Linked DNA regions of Saccharomyces cerevisiae S288C. The protein of the gene in region 1 purifies or fractionates together with the protein of each later gene. This does not show direct contact. Each region holds a gene or a part of one and is shown in the gene's direction. Other genes may lie near its edges.

What was found. The genes of interacting proteins can lie anywhere in the genome.
Region 2: the proteins of RPT1 (region 1) and RPN3 purify together in Saccharomyces cerevisiae (affinity purification with mass spectrometry; 5 studies listed by BioGRID, with this or other methods). This does not show direct contact.
Region 3: the proteins of RPT1 (region 1) and RPN5 purify together in Saccharomyces cerevisiae (affinity purification with mass spectrometry; 7 studies listed by BioGRID, with this or other methods). This does not show direct contact.

Annotation. Positions count from the first base shown.
Region 1 is NC_001143.9:167,954-176,116, forward strand, and holds RPT1 (proteasome regulatory particle base subunit RPT1), read left to right. Parts: upstream 1-6,259; coding exon 6,260-7,663; downstream 7,664-8,163. Other genes in the region: DBR1 (RNA lariat debranching enzyme), read right to left, coding at 1-876; succinate dehydrogenase flavoprotein subunit SDH1, read right to left, coding at 1,254-3,176; AVT3 (Avt3p), read left to right, coding at 3,830-5,908; DNA-directed RNA polymerase III subunit RPC25, read right to left, coding at 7,890-8,163. UniProt on the Saccharomyces cerevisiae protein: The 26S proteasome is involved in the ATP-dependent degradation of ubiquitinated proteins. The regulatory (or ATPase) complex confers ATP dependency and substrate specificity to the 26S complex.
Region 2 is NC_001137.3:194,684-199,019, forward strand, and holds RPN3 (proteasome regulatory particle lid subunit RPN3), read left to right. Parts: upstream 1-2,264; coding exon 2,265-3,836; downstream 3,837-4,336. Other genes in the region: GPA2 (guanine nucleotide-binding protein subunit alpha), read left to right, coding at 485-1,834; SRB4 (Srb4p), read left to right, coding at 4,129-4,336. UniProt on the Saccharomyces cerevisiae protein: Acts as a regulatory subunit of the 26S proteasome which is involved in the ATP-dependent degradation of ubiquitinated proteins.
Region 3 is NC_001136.10:188,839-192,761, forward strand, and holds RPN5 (proteasome regulatory particle lid subunit RPN5), read left to right. Parts: upstream 1-2,085; coding exon 2,086-3,423; downstream 3,424-3,923. Other genes in the region: snoRNA-binding rRNA-processing protein NOP14, read right to left, coding at 1-1,748; LDB17 (Ldb17p), read left to right, coding at 3,912-3,923. UniProt on the Saccharomyces cerevisiae protein: Acts as a regulatory subunit of the 26S proteasome which is involved in the ATP-dependent degradation of ubiquitinated proteins.

The DNA of each region.
Region 1 (8,163 bases):
GCCGTATTTGGAATCATACTCATTCTCTTCTTGGCAATTCATAATACCAGACCTTTCGTCCTCGTCACTGGATAAATCCAAATCTATTTCATTATTGTTTTTTTTTGTCTTTGAAGTTGACTTATTAGGCGGTTCGTGGCTTCTTTTATTATGCTTAATGGAGGCCATGAACCTGACATGCAAATGGGCGCTCAACCACCATTGAGGCCGCAAATCTCTTAGTAGTTGCCAGGTCACTGGGCTGCCTAGTTTTCCCTCTTTAATATCTTGCTCAAAAAAAGGCTTAAGCTTCAACAAGTGCTTAGTATCGCCATGATAAACGACTCCATTGGGCCAATCGTGGCTCAGCATAATATCAATACGATGCTTGATCATAAAAAGAGGAGCAATATCAGAAATTCTTACATGATACAGATTTCTTATGTTAGCTTTCCAATTGTTATTTTCTAGGTCATTCCAATCTGGTCGTTGCTTATTGAAATCCCACTCTTTCCATATCCCGCTCAATGAACCTATCCTTATGCCTTTAAACCATATAACGTTAGAGTATCCCATATAAAAAATGTTCTTTGCTACATAACCACCATGTGGCAGAAGCATTAAATGTCTCATCGATTCATGATTACCGCCAATAAAAATAGTAGGGACTGGGGCTTCAATCTCATTATTGTAGTATGATATGAAATCACCGAGTCTTTGATATTTTGGTGGTATGGCTATTGACTTAAAATCCTGACCATCACGAATACTTTGAAAATCTCCAAGAATAATTAATAGATCGATGGGAGTCTTCGCATGGATTCGTGACACTTCTTTATAAATTTGGTTTAGCTGACCATGACAGCACCCTTGTACAGCAATTCGCAATTTAGTCATAAGCAAAATGATAAATGTCTGCCCATCTTAATTTTTAGTTACATATTTACGTTCGCCATATGACTTTCTCCTGCTCATTTTTTGTGAGGGCCAGAAAAACACACATCTGGCTAATGAGAAAAAAAATTGGAGAACTAAGGAAATGCCTCGATAAAAAATTGAAAGTAATAAATAAATAAATAAATAAATAAATAAATAGTAAGTTAATAAATAACTAAATAAATAGAGTATGTATAAGAAGAAACTTTATGTAAATGTATATTAATAGGTATATATACAAATTAGTGAGTCAGTGGTAAAAAAGTGCAAACGCACAAAAAAAGTGCAATTAAAGAAGAGTATGATATTCTTTTCCGTAAAATACAATGAGGTTCAAATTAGTAGGCTCTTACAGTTGGAGGTACGGAAGGACATTCCTTTTCGTCCAAAGTGTGATCGATAACCCTTCTGTATTTCAAAGTCACTGGGGCAGCGACGTCCTTTTGCCAGGATAATGTATGCTTCATCCAATGTTCGTCATCTCTATTTGGATAATCCTCTCTTGCATGAGCACCACGGGATTCCTTTCTATTAGCAGCGGAAACAGCTGTTTGGGAGGCACAGGTTAATAAGTTCTGTAGCTCCAGAGTTTCAACCAAGTCAGAATTCCAGATCATTGATCTATCGGTCGTCTTCACATCATCAAAGGTCTTCTCTACTGCAGTAATGTTCCGAACACCTTCATCTAAAGATGATTGTGTTCTAAAGACGGAAACATCCTTTTGCATAGTTTGTTTCATATTCATTCTAATTTCTGCCGTAGATCTTGAACCATTAGCATTTCTTAGTTTATCCAAGTTTGCGATGGATTCTTTACCCAAATCAGAAGGTAGTGGTTTGTGTGGCAACCCAGGCTGTAAAGTGTCAGCAACCGTATGGGCAACAGCACGACCAAAGACAACAAGATCCAACAAGGAATTGGCACCTAATCTATTGGCACCATGGACAGAAACACAAGCGGCTTCACCACAAGCCATTAAACCGGGAATAACCTTGTCTTCGCCAGTTTCTTCATCAATGGTTAATGCCTCACCATTCCACTTCGTGGGAATACCACCCATGTTATAGTGGACGGTAGGAATAATGGGAATAGGTTCCTTGGTGACGTCTACACCAGCAAAAATGGCTGCTGTTTCAGAGATACCTGGCAATCTTTCCTTTAGAACTTCCGGAGGTAGATGGCTCAATTGTAAGTACATGTGGTCCTTTTTCTTACCAACACCTCTGCCTTCTCTGATCTCCATGGTGATTGCTCTGGAAACGACATCTCTACAAGCTAGATCCTTGGCCGTAGGAGCGTAACGTTCCATGAATCTTTCACCTTCAGAATTAACCAAAAAACCACCTTCACCACGAGCACCTTCAGTGATTAAGCAACCAGACCCATATATACCTGAAGGATGGAATTGAACAAACTCTAAATCTTGCAAGGGGAAACCAGCACGCGAAACCATGGCATTACCGTCACCCGTACATGTGTGAGCAGAGGTACAAGAGAAGTATGCTCTACCATAGCCACCAGTGGCAATAATGGTCTTGTGTGCTCTGAATCTGTGGATGGTACCGTCTTCCTGATTATAAGCGATGACACCAACGACCTCGCCATTATGGGTCAACAGATCGAGGGCAAAGTACTCAATAAAGAAATGTGTGTCATGTCTTAAAGCTTGGCCATAAAGCGTGTGTAAAAGAGCATGTCCTGTCCTGTCTGCGACAGCGCATGTTCTATAGGCCTGAGCACCCTTACCGTACTCCTTGGTCTGACCACCAAAGGCTCTTTGGTAGATCTTACCGTTTTCAGTTCTTGAAAAAGGAACACCATAGTGTTCCAGTTCAATGATCGATTTGGGCGCTTCCCTGGTCATGTAATGGATGGAGTCCTGGTCACCTAGCCAATCAGATCCTTTCACAGTATCGTACATATGCCATTTCCAGTTATCCTTGTGCATATTTCCCAGAGCGGCATTGATACCACCCTGAGCAGCAACAGTGTGGGATCTGGTGGGGAAAAGCTTGGATATACAAGCAGTCTTGTAGCCCGCCTCGGCAAGACCAAAGGCCGCTCTAAGGCCGGCACCACCGGCACCGATTACCACACAGTCATACTCGTGATCTATTATGTGGTACTTCCCGTCTGCAGATCTGGACGCGGAACCGTTTACAGAGCCCTGCGTTTGGCGCACCAAAGCTGACGATGTAAATGTTCTTGTGTTTCTGAGCAAAGTCAACTTGGAGAGCGCTGATTTTTTTAGCGATAGCATCTTTATTCTCGTTCTTCTTCGTACTATGAAATTGGATTTTTTTCTTTCTTTCTTTCTTTCTTTTTATCTTCAATAAGGGGTTGGGGAGGAGATTAGTGAAAAGAATATCGAAAGTGCAAAGTATACTACTGGTTAGTTATAATGTGTCTACTAGTTTATTAGTGCTATTTAAGCTTCAAGCCGCCTCGACGTGGCAAAAGGTTAGAGTCGAGGATGCCTGAATATATAACGGGTTTGAGCAAACAAACAACCAATAGAAGAGGCCCGGATCCCTTGGTCCAGCGCTTGCTCGGCGCCGCGTTCTGCGCTGTGATTGGTCCACCCCCGCCCTCAAAGCCGTGACTCCATAACGACTTTCCAGCGAGCTTGGTACCTGGCAATAGAGGATGATCCTCACCTCCGCTACTTTTGGGAGCTACTTTTAGCACGGAAAGGTATATTTTGGACTACTGTATGAGTAAATCCTTATATAGACGACATTATTACTAAAGGTAGAGCGAGAGATAGTAAAAGGGTTGGTTACCCGGTCGGGCCTTTTTCTCGTATTATCATTTGTGCTCGTGAGGCTATGAAATAAGAAGGATCGATGGTCAGTAGTGAAAGAGTGGGAAGCAAAGTTTATTAAGAAGCGTATAAGGGATTGCATCGCGGATATGAATGGAAAAGAGGTTTCAAGTGGCTCTGGAAGAACGCAGAGCAACAACAACAAAAAAAATAACAACGGAGGCAGTACAGGAATCTCGCATGCGTCTGGCTCACCTTTAACGGACGGCAACGGTGGCAATAGCAACGGTAATAGTAGAAGTAGAAGCAGAAGTAGAAAATCTAGTGGAACTACAGGTGGTTTGCTAAAAAAGCCGCCGCTGCTTGTGAACAATGAAGCGGTGCATGCTAGCGTACCCGACGCGTCGCACACTTCCTGTAACAATGGCACGCTTGAAGTGAGCATAAATAACCCTGAGCCACATGTGGTAGATGCCGTGGCACGCCACTTGATAAGAAACCCGAGTAACAGCCTACAATTGCAAGGCGGAGACATTACAAGAGATCTGTATAAGTGGACAAACGACCATCCTTCATCACCATCGCAGTATCAGTACCCAAGTCAACCTGCACTTTCCACCTCAATACCTTCACAAGCGCCCTCATTCTCGAATCGTAAAAGGTCTATGAGCTTTTCTGCCGCTTCTATAGCATCTTCCTCTCACCTTAACAACAACTCGGAGGCGAATGGGAATCCTCTAGCGGCAATAGGCCTGGCGCCCGCACCGATGACGCACGAAGAAATCAGGGCTCCTGGTGGATTCAGAAGATCTTTTATAATACAGAAGCGCAGGAAACATAACGTTGATGCGCCCATACCGAATTTTTTCACCAGGAACTTTATTGAATTTTTGACCTTGTATGGCCACTTCGCTGGTGAAGATTTATCGGAAGAAGAGGAGGAGGAGGAAGAAACTGAAGAGGAGCCAGAGGAGGAAGCTTTGGAAACGGAAAGCACCCAGCTAGTTTCTCGTGAACACGGGCGCCATCCTCACAAATCATCTACGGTAAAGGCGGTGCTGCTCTTGTTAAAGTCATTTGTTGGGACAGGTGTGCTTTTCCTACCAAAGGCTTTCCATAACGGTGGTTGGGGATTTAGCGCCCTTTGTCTACTCTCGTGTGCCCTCATTTCTTATGGATGTTTCGTATCATTGATTACCACCAAGGACAAAGTAGGCGTAGATGGGTACGGTGACATGGGTCGTATACTATATGGGCCCAAAATGAAATTTGCCATTCTTTCGTCTATCGCCTTGTCACAAATCGGGTTTTCTGCTGCATACACTGTTTTCACTGCAACTAATTTGCAGGTCTTTTCTGAAAATTTCTTCCATTTGAAACCGGGCAGCATCAGTCTAGCCACCTATATCTTTGCACAAGTACTCATCTTTGTCCCACTATCTTTGACAAGAAACATAGCCAAGTTAAGTGGGACCGCGTTAATAGCAGATCTATTTATTCTACTGGGATTGGTTTATGTTTACGTTTACTCCATTTATTATATTGCTGTTAATGGTGTCGCATCCGATACAATGCTTATGTTCAATAAAGCGGACTGGTCGTTGTTCATCGGTACCGCCATATTCACCTTTGAAGGTATAGGCCTACTTATCCCCATTCAGGAGTCAATGAAACACCCGAAGCATTTCCGGCCATCGTTGTCCGCGGTGATGTGTATCGTGGCAGTGATTTTCATATCATGTGGTCTCTTATGCTATGCCGCTTTTGGATCTGACGTGAAAACTGTTGTTTTATTGAATTTTCCGCAGGACACTTCCTATACTCTCACTGTTCAATTACTGTATGCATTAGCCATTTTGTTATCCACGCCGTTGCAGCTATTTCCCGCGATACGTATTTTGGAAAACTGGACTTTTCCCTCAAATGCATCTGGTAAATACAACCCGAAAGTCAAATGGTTGAAAAACTATTTCCGTTGCGCTATTGTCGTCCTGACATCTATCCTCGCTTGGGTAGGCGCCAACGATTTGGACAAATTTGTATCACTGGTAGGCTCCTTCGCGTGTATCCCATTGATCTACATATACCCGCCATTGTTGCACTATAAGGCGTCCATCTTATCTGGAACCTCGAGAGCCAGGCTTCTTTTAGATTTAATCGTCATAGTATTTGGAGTTGCTGTCATGGCCTACACGTCATGGCAGACGATTAAAATGTGGAGCCAGTAATCCGCCATTTTTGACCGAGTACATCATGTACAGACACATATATATATATTTATATATGACTCGTTATCTATATGCATCTGGAACACACATACCTTGTTTTAATTATGATTAGCATAAATGTACTATCCTTGTCAATTTGGTATGGCTGAGTTTACCCGGACGAGAGGAAAAGGTATAGTGAATAGGATTACCGAATTTTGCCACCCGAAAACTAAACTAGCATGCAGCTTACTATACAAAGAACTGGGTATATACAGTATTTTCCAAGGAGATGAGAATTCAAAGCAATATTCAATTGAGATATTTTTTTGAACCATCGTAATAAATCAAGGAAGTTAGGAACTATACGGAATGCCACCAAAAGAAGACTGGGAAAAATACAAGGCACCTTTGGAAGACGATGATAAAAAACCTGATGATGACAAGATCGTACCCTTAACAGAAGGTGACATTCAAGTCTTAAAATCATACGGTGCAGCTCCATACGCAGCCAAATTAAAGCAAACTGAGAATGACTTAAAAGACATTGAAGCGAGAATCAAAGAAAAGGCCGGTGTGAAAGAAAGCGATACAGGGTTAGCACCCTCCCATCTATGGGATATTATGGGTGATAGGCAGAGACTGGGCGAAGAACATCCCTTACAAGTCGCTCGTTGCACGAAGATCATTAAGGGGAATGGTGAAAGTGACGAAACTACGACAGATAATAATAACAGCGGCAATAGCAATAGTAATAGCAATCAACAGTCTACTGATGCAGACGAAGACGATGAAGATGCCAAGTACGTGATAAATCTTAAGCAAATTGCCAAATTTGTCGTCGGATTAGGTGAACGTGTTTCTCCAACAGATATAGAAGAAGGTATGCGTGTAGGTGTCGATAGGTCGAAATATAATATTGAACTTCCATTGCCTCCAAGGATTGACCCATCAGTTACTATGATGACCGTTGAAGAAAAGCCTGACGTTACTTATAGCGATGTCGGTGGCTGTAAAGACCAAATTGAAAAGCTGAGAGAAGTTGTCGAGCTGCCCTTATTATCTCCAGAAAGATTTGCTACTCTTGGTATTGATCCACCAAAGGGTATCTTATTATATGGGCCACCTGGTACTGGTAAGACATTATGTGCTCGTGCTGTTGCTAATAGAACTGATGCAACTTTTATTAGGGTCATTGGGTCTGAGCTAGTGCAAAAATATGTCGGTGAAGGTGCTCGTATGGTTAGAGAATTATTTGAAATGGCTCGTACCAAAAAGGCTTGCATTATATTCTTCGATGAAATCGACGCTGTTGGTGGTGCTCGTTTTGATGATGGTGCTGGTGGTGATAATGAAGTTCAAAGAACTATGTTAGAACTGATTACACAGTTAGACGGGTTTGACCCTCGTGGTAACATTAAAGTGATGTTTGCCACCAATAGGCCCAACACTTTAGATCCAGCTTTATTGAGACCCGGTAGAATTGATCGTAAGGTAGAGTTTTCATTACCTGACTTGGAAGGTCGTGCAAATATCTTCCGTATTCACTCTAAATCAATGAGTGTGGAACGTGGCATCAGATGGGAACTTATCTCCAGACTGTGTCCAAACTCTACCGGTGCAGAATTAAGATCTGTTTGCACAGAAGCCGGTATGTTTGCCATTAGAGCAAGAAGAAAGGTGGCTACTGAAAAGGATTTCCTGAAGGCTGTTGATAAAGTTATTAGCGGATACAAGAAGTTTAGTTCCACATCGCGTTATATGCAATATAATTGACGTCAATGTACTTTTTTATTATATATTATGAGAAGGGTTAATAAAAACAACAAGTACAACTACAACTATCGAGATAAAAAGGATACGAGAGTATCCCCTCAAATAGAGAAAGAATTAGCGTATATAATGCTAAAGAAAATTCACGTTTATTATATATTATTATCCTCATTATTACTGTTACTATTATTATTAAATGTTTTATTGAAGTCAGTGGCGTCCTTATCTATCATTCCCACCAACTAACGAGTCCCATGCCATCAGTTTGACAACTACCTAATAGGGCATATGCTGGAGGTTTTTCGTTTTGAGGAGTTTCTTCATTCTTACCCTCAATCTCATTCTCTAATTGAGCTCTTTCCTCCAATTCTCGTTCTTTGGGTGATTTTGGCTTCACATCAACAAAAACTTCTCTTTCGATTCTGAATCTAATTTTTTCATTTACATCGAAATATAGTTTCGTCTCTTCATCCATGGGCCAAATCCATGCACTTTCTTCAGGG
Region 2 (4,336 bases), on another chromosome or scaffold:
AAAATGGAGGAAAAAAAAAAAGACGAAATCCAAAAGGCTAAGGAAACGGGTAACCCGTGGTACCCGGGGCAGAATCAAACTTATAATTACTAAAGATATACCATATATTACGATCCCTGCGCCCGGCGTGCTCCACATTAAGTAAATGTCTGGAGTAAAATGAAGTCCGCCAATTCAGTCACAAAACATGACTACTGCCTCGTTCGCGATTTCTTCTTCCCTTACTTCATCATGTTCAAGCCCCCTCAGCTGCGCCCAAATGATTCTTCTTATCCTCTTGCATACTGCACCGAAAAAAAAAGTTAATAAGCAGCAGGATTTATAGGCGCGTGCGTGCAGCCTTAGACTGAAGGGGTGGAAAAACTTTAGGTAGGTTTGGTTCTCACTACCCAAAGAGCAATCGATAGGTATAAAAGTGAGCAATTGCTATCACAGCGAGCCTTATTGTTACAGCACAAATCACGCGTATTTTCAAGCAAATATCATGGGTCTCTGCGCATCTTCAGAAAAGAACGGCAGCACTCCTGACACGCAGACCGCCAGCGCTGGTAGTGACAACGTTGGCAAAGCGAAGGTACCACCAAAGCAGGAGCCACAGAAGACTGTGAGAACAGTCAACACAGCAAATCAACAAGAAAAGCAACAACAGAGGCAGCAGCAGCCGTCTCCGCATAATGTTAAGGACCGCAAGGAGCAAAACGGGAGCATTAATAACGCGATATCTCCCACGGCTACGGCAAATACAAGCGGATCGCAACAGATCAATATCGACTCTGCCCTGAGAGACAGGTCGAGTAACGTTGCAGCACAACCATCATTGTCGGACGCTTCAAGTGGCAGCAACGACAAAGAACTGAAAGTGCTACTGCTGGGTGCCGGTGAAAGTGGTAAGTCCACGGTATTGCAGCAGTTGAAGATTTTACACCAGAACGGGTTTAGCGAGCAGGAAATTAAAGAGTACATCCCCTTGATCTATCAGAATCTATTGGAAATTGGCAGGAACCTCATCCAGGCGAGAACAAGGTTTAACGTCAACTTGGAACCGGAGTGTGAACTGACGCAACAAGACCTGTCGAGAACCATGTCCTATGAAATGCCCAATAACTACACGGGCCAATTCCCGGAAGATATCGCGGGCGTAATATCTACGTTGTGGGCCTTGCCCTCAACACAAGATTTAGTCAATGGGCCTAACGCATCGAAGTTCTATCTAATGGACTCGACTCCTTACTTCATGGAAAATTTCACCAGGATCACTTCGCCCAATTACAGACCCACCCAGCAGGACATATTAAGATCGAGACAGATGACGTCAGGGATTTTTGACACCGTCATTGATATGGGGTCGGATATCAAGATGCATATTTACGACGTGGGTGGACAGCGTTCCGAAAGAAAAAAATGGATACACTGCTTCGACAATGTCACTCTGGTCATATTTTGCGTTTCTCTATCGGAGTACGACCAGACGCTGATGGAGGACAAGAACCAGAACAGGTTTCAGGAATCGCTGGTGCTTTTCGATAATATTGTCAACAGTAGATGGTTCGCGCGCACGTCTGTCGTACTCTTTCTGAATAAAATCGACCTTTTTGCTGAAAAACTAAGCAAAGTGCCTATGGAAAATTACTTCCCAGACTACACCGGCGGGTCAGACATCAACAAGGCTGCTAAGTACATACTCTGGAGGTTTGTTCAGTTAAACAGGGCGAATCTAAGCATATATCCTCACGTGACACAGGCCACAGACACGTCGAATATAAGATTAGTATTTGCCGCCATCAAAGAAACAATTTTGGAAAATACATTGAAAGACTCTGGAGTGTTACAATGAATGCACAGCTAAAACAGAGACAAAACTGCATGCCTCTTCTCCCCTTTATTATCACCTTTAAAAAAGATAAAAAAAGAAACTGGAAAAAAGGTAAAAAAAAAAAAAAAATTAAATAAATACGAATACGTTTTCTCATGACCATTGTACTAGTAATCACAACCATGATACTTGAATAACTTTTCTGTTTTGTGCTGTATTAAGCACAACCGTTATTTTTTAATTTATAGCGTTATACCACTATATTATTGTAGTCATTATAGTTATTATCCCGGGTAACAAAAATTTCATTCCAACGAGGTAATAGTTCCACTTTTCAGGCAGGAGGACGAAAAACATTTGCCACCCAAGAAAGAGACAAAGCAGTAGGTAAGGCATTCATCACACAATTTGAAAGGGGGTATAGTAAAAAAAATTCAATTGAGCAAATAGAATGGCTAGCACTGCAGTAATGATGGACGTGGATTCTTCCGGGGTCAATGACTTGCACCATTCTGAGAAGAAATATGCGGAAGAAGATCAGGTTCAGGAACTATTGAAAGTTTTGAATGAGATCTCCAAGACCACTTTAACGCTGGACCCAAGATATATATGGAGGAGTTTAAAGGACTTGAGCTCTTTAAGGAACCAGGAGCTTTTGAATGCGGAAACTTTATGTTTCACAGTGAATGTGCTGTACCCTGATTCTTCTTCATTCAAGAAGAATCTGCTGAAGTTCATTACTTCTAACCATAAATCGTCCGTACCGGGGTCAGCTGAGCTTAGAAACTCATATCCAGCCTCTTTTTATTCCGTAAACACTGAGAAAAAGACCATTGAAGTGACAGCTGAAATTAATTGCTTCATGCATCTACTAGTCCAGTTGTTTTTATGGGACAGTAAAGAATTAGAACAATTGGTAGAGTTTAATAGGAAGGTTGTTATCCCAAATTTATTGTGTTATTACAATTTGCGTTCCTTGAATTTAATCAACGCTAAGTTATGGTTCTACATCTACTTGAGTCATGAAACGTTAGCGCGCAGCTCCGAGGAGATTAACAGCGACAACCAAAATATAATCTTAAGGTCCACGATGATGAAGTTTTTGAAAATCGCTTCCCTGAAGCACGACAACGAAACCAAAGCCATGCTGATTAACTTGATCTTGAGAGATTTTTTGAATAATGGCGAGGTTGATAGCGCGTCTGATTTCATTTCTAAACTAGAATATCCTCACACAGACGTTTCCAGTTCATTGGAGGCAAGATATTTCTTCTATTTATCGAAAATTAACGCCATTCAACTGGATTATTCCACTGCGAACGAGTACATTATTGCAGCCATAAGAAAAGCCCCACATAATTCCAAGAGTTTAGGGTTCTTACAGCAATCAAACAAACTGCATTGTTGTATTCAATTACTCATGGGTGATATTCCAGAATTATCATTTTTCCATCAATCAAATATGCAGAAATCTCTCCTTCCTTATTACCATTTGACCAAAGCCGTTAAATTAGGTGACTTGAAAAAATTCACATCTACAATCACAAAGTATAAGCAGTTGCTATTGAAGGATGACACCTATCAACTCTGTGTTAGATTAAGATCTAATGTTATCAAGACAGGTATCAGGATCATCTCCTTAACGTATAAAAAAATTTCATTAAGAGATATTTGTTTGAAACTGAATTTGGATTCGGAGCAAACTGTAGAATACATGGTTTCAAGGGCTATTAGAGATGGTGTTATTGAAGCCAAGATTAATCACGAGGATGGCTTTATCGAAACCACAGAATTACTAAACATTTATGATAGTGAAGATCCTCAGCAAGTATTTGATGAAAGAATCAAATTTGCCAACCAATTACATGATGAATACCTTGTTTCAATGAGGTACCCTGAGGATAAAAAGACTCAACAAAATGAGAAAAGTGAAAATGGTGAAAATGATGATGATACGCTAGATGGTGATTTGATGGATGACATGTCTGATATCTCGGATCTCGACGATTTGGGATTCTTATAAGGGCGCATAAAAAATAAATAACTACCATTCATAACAGAAATTCATTCGTATATACATAAAGTTCTCATAAACGTATATATATATATATATATATACTTATTGATATCAAAGTGTGTTACTTTCTACATTCATAGACGGGGAAGAAAAGTGAGGAAAAGTTGTTTTCTCTTGTGCACTGCAGCCCTTTGAAAAAGTAGAACTGCAGAAAAAATAACTGAACGTAAAGCATTATTTACTTTTCAAAGGCAAAAGAGATAGAGCCAAAAAAATTGTAAGCAGCTTAAAAGCCATAATGACAACGGAAGATCCAGATTCAAATCACTTAAGTTCCGAAACTGGCATTAAATTGGCATTGGACCCGAACTTAATTACATTGGCACTAAGTTCTAATCCAAACTCTAGCCTTCATTCACCAACGTCTGATGAACCCGTACCTGAATCTGCAGGAAAAGCAGATACTAGTATTCGACTAGAAGGTGATGAGTTAGAGAATAAAACTA
Region 3 (3,923 bases), on another chromosome or scaffold:
TCTTGATTTTCTTTCTCAACTATAAAAGTGAGTAATATTTTTTGAAAGAAGTAAACCACCTCCGGTATGTACCGTTTGGAAATGCGTTGATATTGTGAAACAATCCTTACCAAGACAGCGCCAAAAGCTATCCTCTTTAAAGAATTAAACTTGATTTGTTCCAGGAACTGGCTCATTAAAATCAATGCTGGAGTTATTACTAAATGGTACTGGTCCGAGGTGGAGAAAAGAATACCAATAATGGAAAAAAATACCAGATCACCATTTGATAGAGCATCAAAATGGTTCTTTTTATAGCGTGCTTGCATTTCATTGATATAATCTCTACACTCCTCGGAAAGCTCTCTATTATATTTCTCTGAAAGGGATTTTAGAATTGAGATCAATGCATTTTGTGTACGTTTAAAACTTTGAACGTTTTTAAGGTAGTTTTGATTGCTTAGAAAAATGATGTGTCTCAGTAAAACAGCGGTGAATTTTCCTAACTTTTCCTTATTACCTTCAGCCAATTTTGGTTGGTAAGCTTTGATAATATTCTTAACAATCTTAGGATGATCATCTAAGTCTAATTTTTTTACTTGATCTAATAACGCATCATGAGTTCTAGGGCATGAAATGGAAATGTTCTTTTTCTTTAAAATTTGAGAAAACCCTTCATCTCTGCCTTGATCTTCAAATTTGATATCATCATCAGAATCAGCAATACCGTCATTATCGTCTTCATAGTCTTCTTCATTTTCCCAGAATCCATCATCCAAATCCTCTACTCCTCTTTCTTCGCCTTCTTCTAATTCAATCATACCGTTCATACGATCAAGACGCTGTTGTTCCAACTCCCGTTTTTTTTCTTCAGCTTCAGCGTTTTTCTCCTCTTCAGTTTTAGTTCTATCAGAGGGTGCAGCTCTTTTGTCCAATTGTAGTTCTTTCACTTTGATATCATACTCCTTATCTAGATCGGTCTTAGGTTCCATTGGATTCTTCTTGGGTTGCGTCATCATCAATTCAGACATAACATCCTCGAAATTATCATCCAGATTATCTATTTGATCTTCCATTATACCTTGAGCCTTTTGTCTTTCTTGTTTGTAAAATTTTGATTTGGCAATGACCTCTTTCATGACTTCAGCTTTGGTTTTTTTTCTTTGAGGTTGCTGTAGCTCAGCATCATCTTCATTGAATCGTTTGGAAGCTAAAAAATCCTCTTCATCATTGGCAAGCTCATCTTCTAGGGACAGCGATTGACCTAAATGTGTAAGACCGTCTCCAAACATGTCACCGTCGTCTTCATCGTCTTCAAGATTGAATAAATTTGCGTTTCTCTTTGATTGGCTTTGTCTTTCTCTGGTGAAACGTTCCAACATTTTTTCTTCTTCCGTCAACAACTTGTCTCTTTCACCAAATCTCTTATCGATCACACCACCACGTTTATTCTTCATCATTTTTCTTGCTTCAAATGCACGCTTTCTTTGTTCTTCACCGATCTGTTTAGAGATACCAGGCTTACCCACAGCAATACGATCAGCAGTTTTAGAAGGCAGACCATCTCTCCTCTTATTCCTTGCAGCCTTTATTTCAAACGGATTAAACTCTTCTCTGATTTCAGCAATGGCCTTTTTTTTTTCTTCACGATCATACTCCTTCGCTTGTCTTTTGGAATTCTTTTTATTCTTACTTTTGACGTTTGTTTGACCTGTGAGTCCACGGGCCTTCAAGGCGGCCTTTAAATTCTTAAGTTGTGAACCGGCCATGTATTTGATCTTCCCTTTTATTTGCTTCTCAACTGTACTATTTACAGTAATAATTAGTGCAACCTTCAGATGCTTCTCGCTAAATGCTCATCTCTAAATTATCATTATTATTCCTAATAAATCCTAAAATTTTTCACTCGTTCTGTACGGCTCATCGCCCCAATATTACCCGTCTTGTATGTGATCTTTTTGACTTTTCGGTGGCAAAATGCAAAGGGGAATCCAAGGAAAAACCATAACAGGACACTACATCAGAGATAATCTTGAATTAAGAGAGTAGAGGAATATACTGCTGGGCTCACTACCATTTTTGTTGCTAGAGTAAACGTAGAGAAAGATGTCAAGAGATGCACCAATTAAGGCTGACAAGGATTATAGCCAAATTTTGAAGGAAGAGTTTCCTAAGATCGATTCGCTCGCTCAAAATGATTGTAACTCTGCTTTAGACCAACTGTTAGTGTTGGAGAAGAAAACCAGACAAGCTTCAGATCTGGCCTCCTCGAAAGAAGTTTTGGCCAAGATTGTAGATCTGCTAGCATCAAGGAATAAGTGGGACGACCTAAATGAGCAATTGACTCTACTCTCAAAAAAGCATGGTCAGTTGAAATTGTCAATTCAGTATATGATACAAAAGGTTATGGAATATTTGAAAAGCTCGAAATCTTTGGATTTAAACACCAGAATTAGTGTCATTGAAACTATCAGGGTGGTTACAGAGAACAAAATATTTGTAGAAGTGGAAAGAGCTAGGGTCACCAAAGATTTGGTGGAAATTAAGAAAGAAGAGGGTAAGATTGATGAAGCTGCAGACATCTTGTGTGAGTTACAGGTTGAGACCTATGGCTCCATGGAAATGTCTGAGAAAATTCAGTTTATATTAGAGCAAATGGAATTGAGTATATTAAAAGGTGATTATTCCCAAGCCACGGTGCTTTCAAGAAAAATTCTGAAAAAAACTTTTAAAAATCCAAAATACGAGTCATTGAAGCTAGAATATTATAATCTTCTGGTAAAAATTAGTTTGCACAAGAGAGAATACCTAGAAGTTGCGCAGTATCTGCAAGAAATTTATCAAACAGACGCCATTAAATCAGATGAGGCTAAGTGGAAACCTGTTTTATCGCACATTGTATATTTCTTAGTCCTTTCACCTTACGGCAATTTACAAAATGATTTAATTCACAAAATCCAGAATGATAACAACCTGAAAAAATTAGAAAGCCAAGAATCTTTAGTAAAATTGTTTACTACGAATGAGTTGATGAGATGGCCAATTGTTCAAAAAACCTATGAGCCCGTCTTAAATGAGGATGATTTGGCATTTGGTGGAGAAGCTAATAAGCATCACTGGGAAGATTTACAAAAAAGGGTCATCGAGCACAATTTAAGAGTCATTTCCGAATACTATTCCAGAATTACTTTACTAAGATTGAATGAATTGCTGGACCTAACGGAGAGCCAGACGGAAACATACATCAGTGATTTGGTAAACCAGGGCATCATATACGCTAAAGTTAATCGCCCAGCCAAAATCGTGAATTTTGAAAAACCAAAAAACTCAAGCCAATTATTGAACGAATGGTCACATAATGTTGACGAACTATTAGAACATATAGAAACAATAGGCCATTTAATTACAAAAGAGGAAATCATGCACGGTTTGCAAGCTAAATGAAGAGATTTTCGAGTAAGTGTCGGATTATCTCAGATCCGGTTTTGATTTTAAATCTGTTACTAATCGAAATGTGTATTTACGTACGTGAGATAAAATTATCTATGCATATATATAACTCAAATGGAAAATGGCCACGTATTGCTCTCATTCTCTTCACTTGCTTACACAAAACATAAGGTGACAATTAATGGAATTTTAGTTTTTCAATTTTTCAGGGGAAAGAAGACACCCAAAAAAAAAGTGAAAAGTCAAAACGGTAAACTGTTTATGGTATTTAAATGACATTAATAGCAGCGTAAAGAGTCATTTTTTCGTTTGATTAGCAAAACTCTGAACATTAATTACTACACCTATAGACATATCTTTAAACAGTGAAATATTTTTTTCATTTAGTAAACAAGAATTAAACTTTGAATATTTTTTTTTCGATTAACTTATGTCACTTTAGCCTATACTTTCTTCGAACATTTTTCCTTTCATTTTGACTCATGATATTAGAT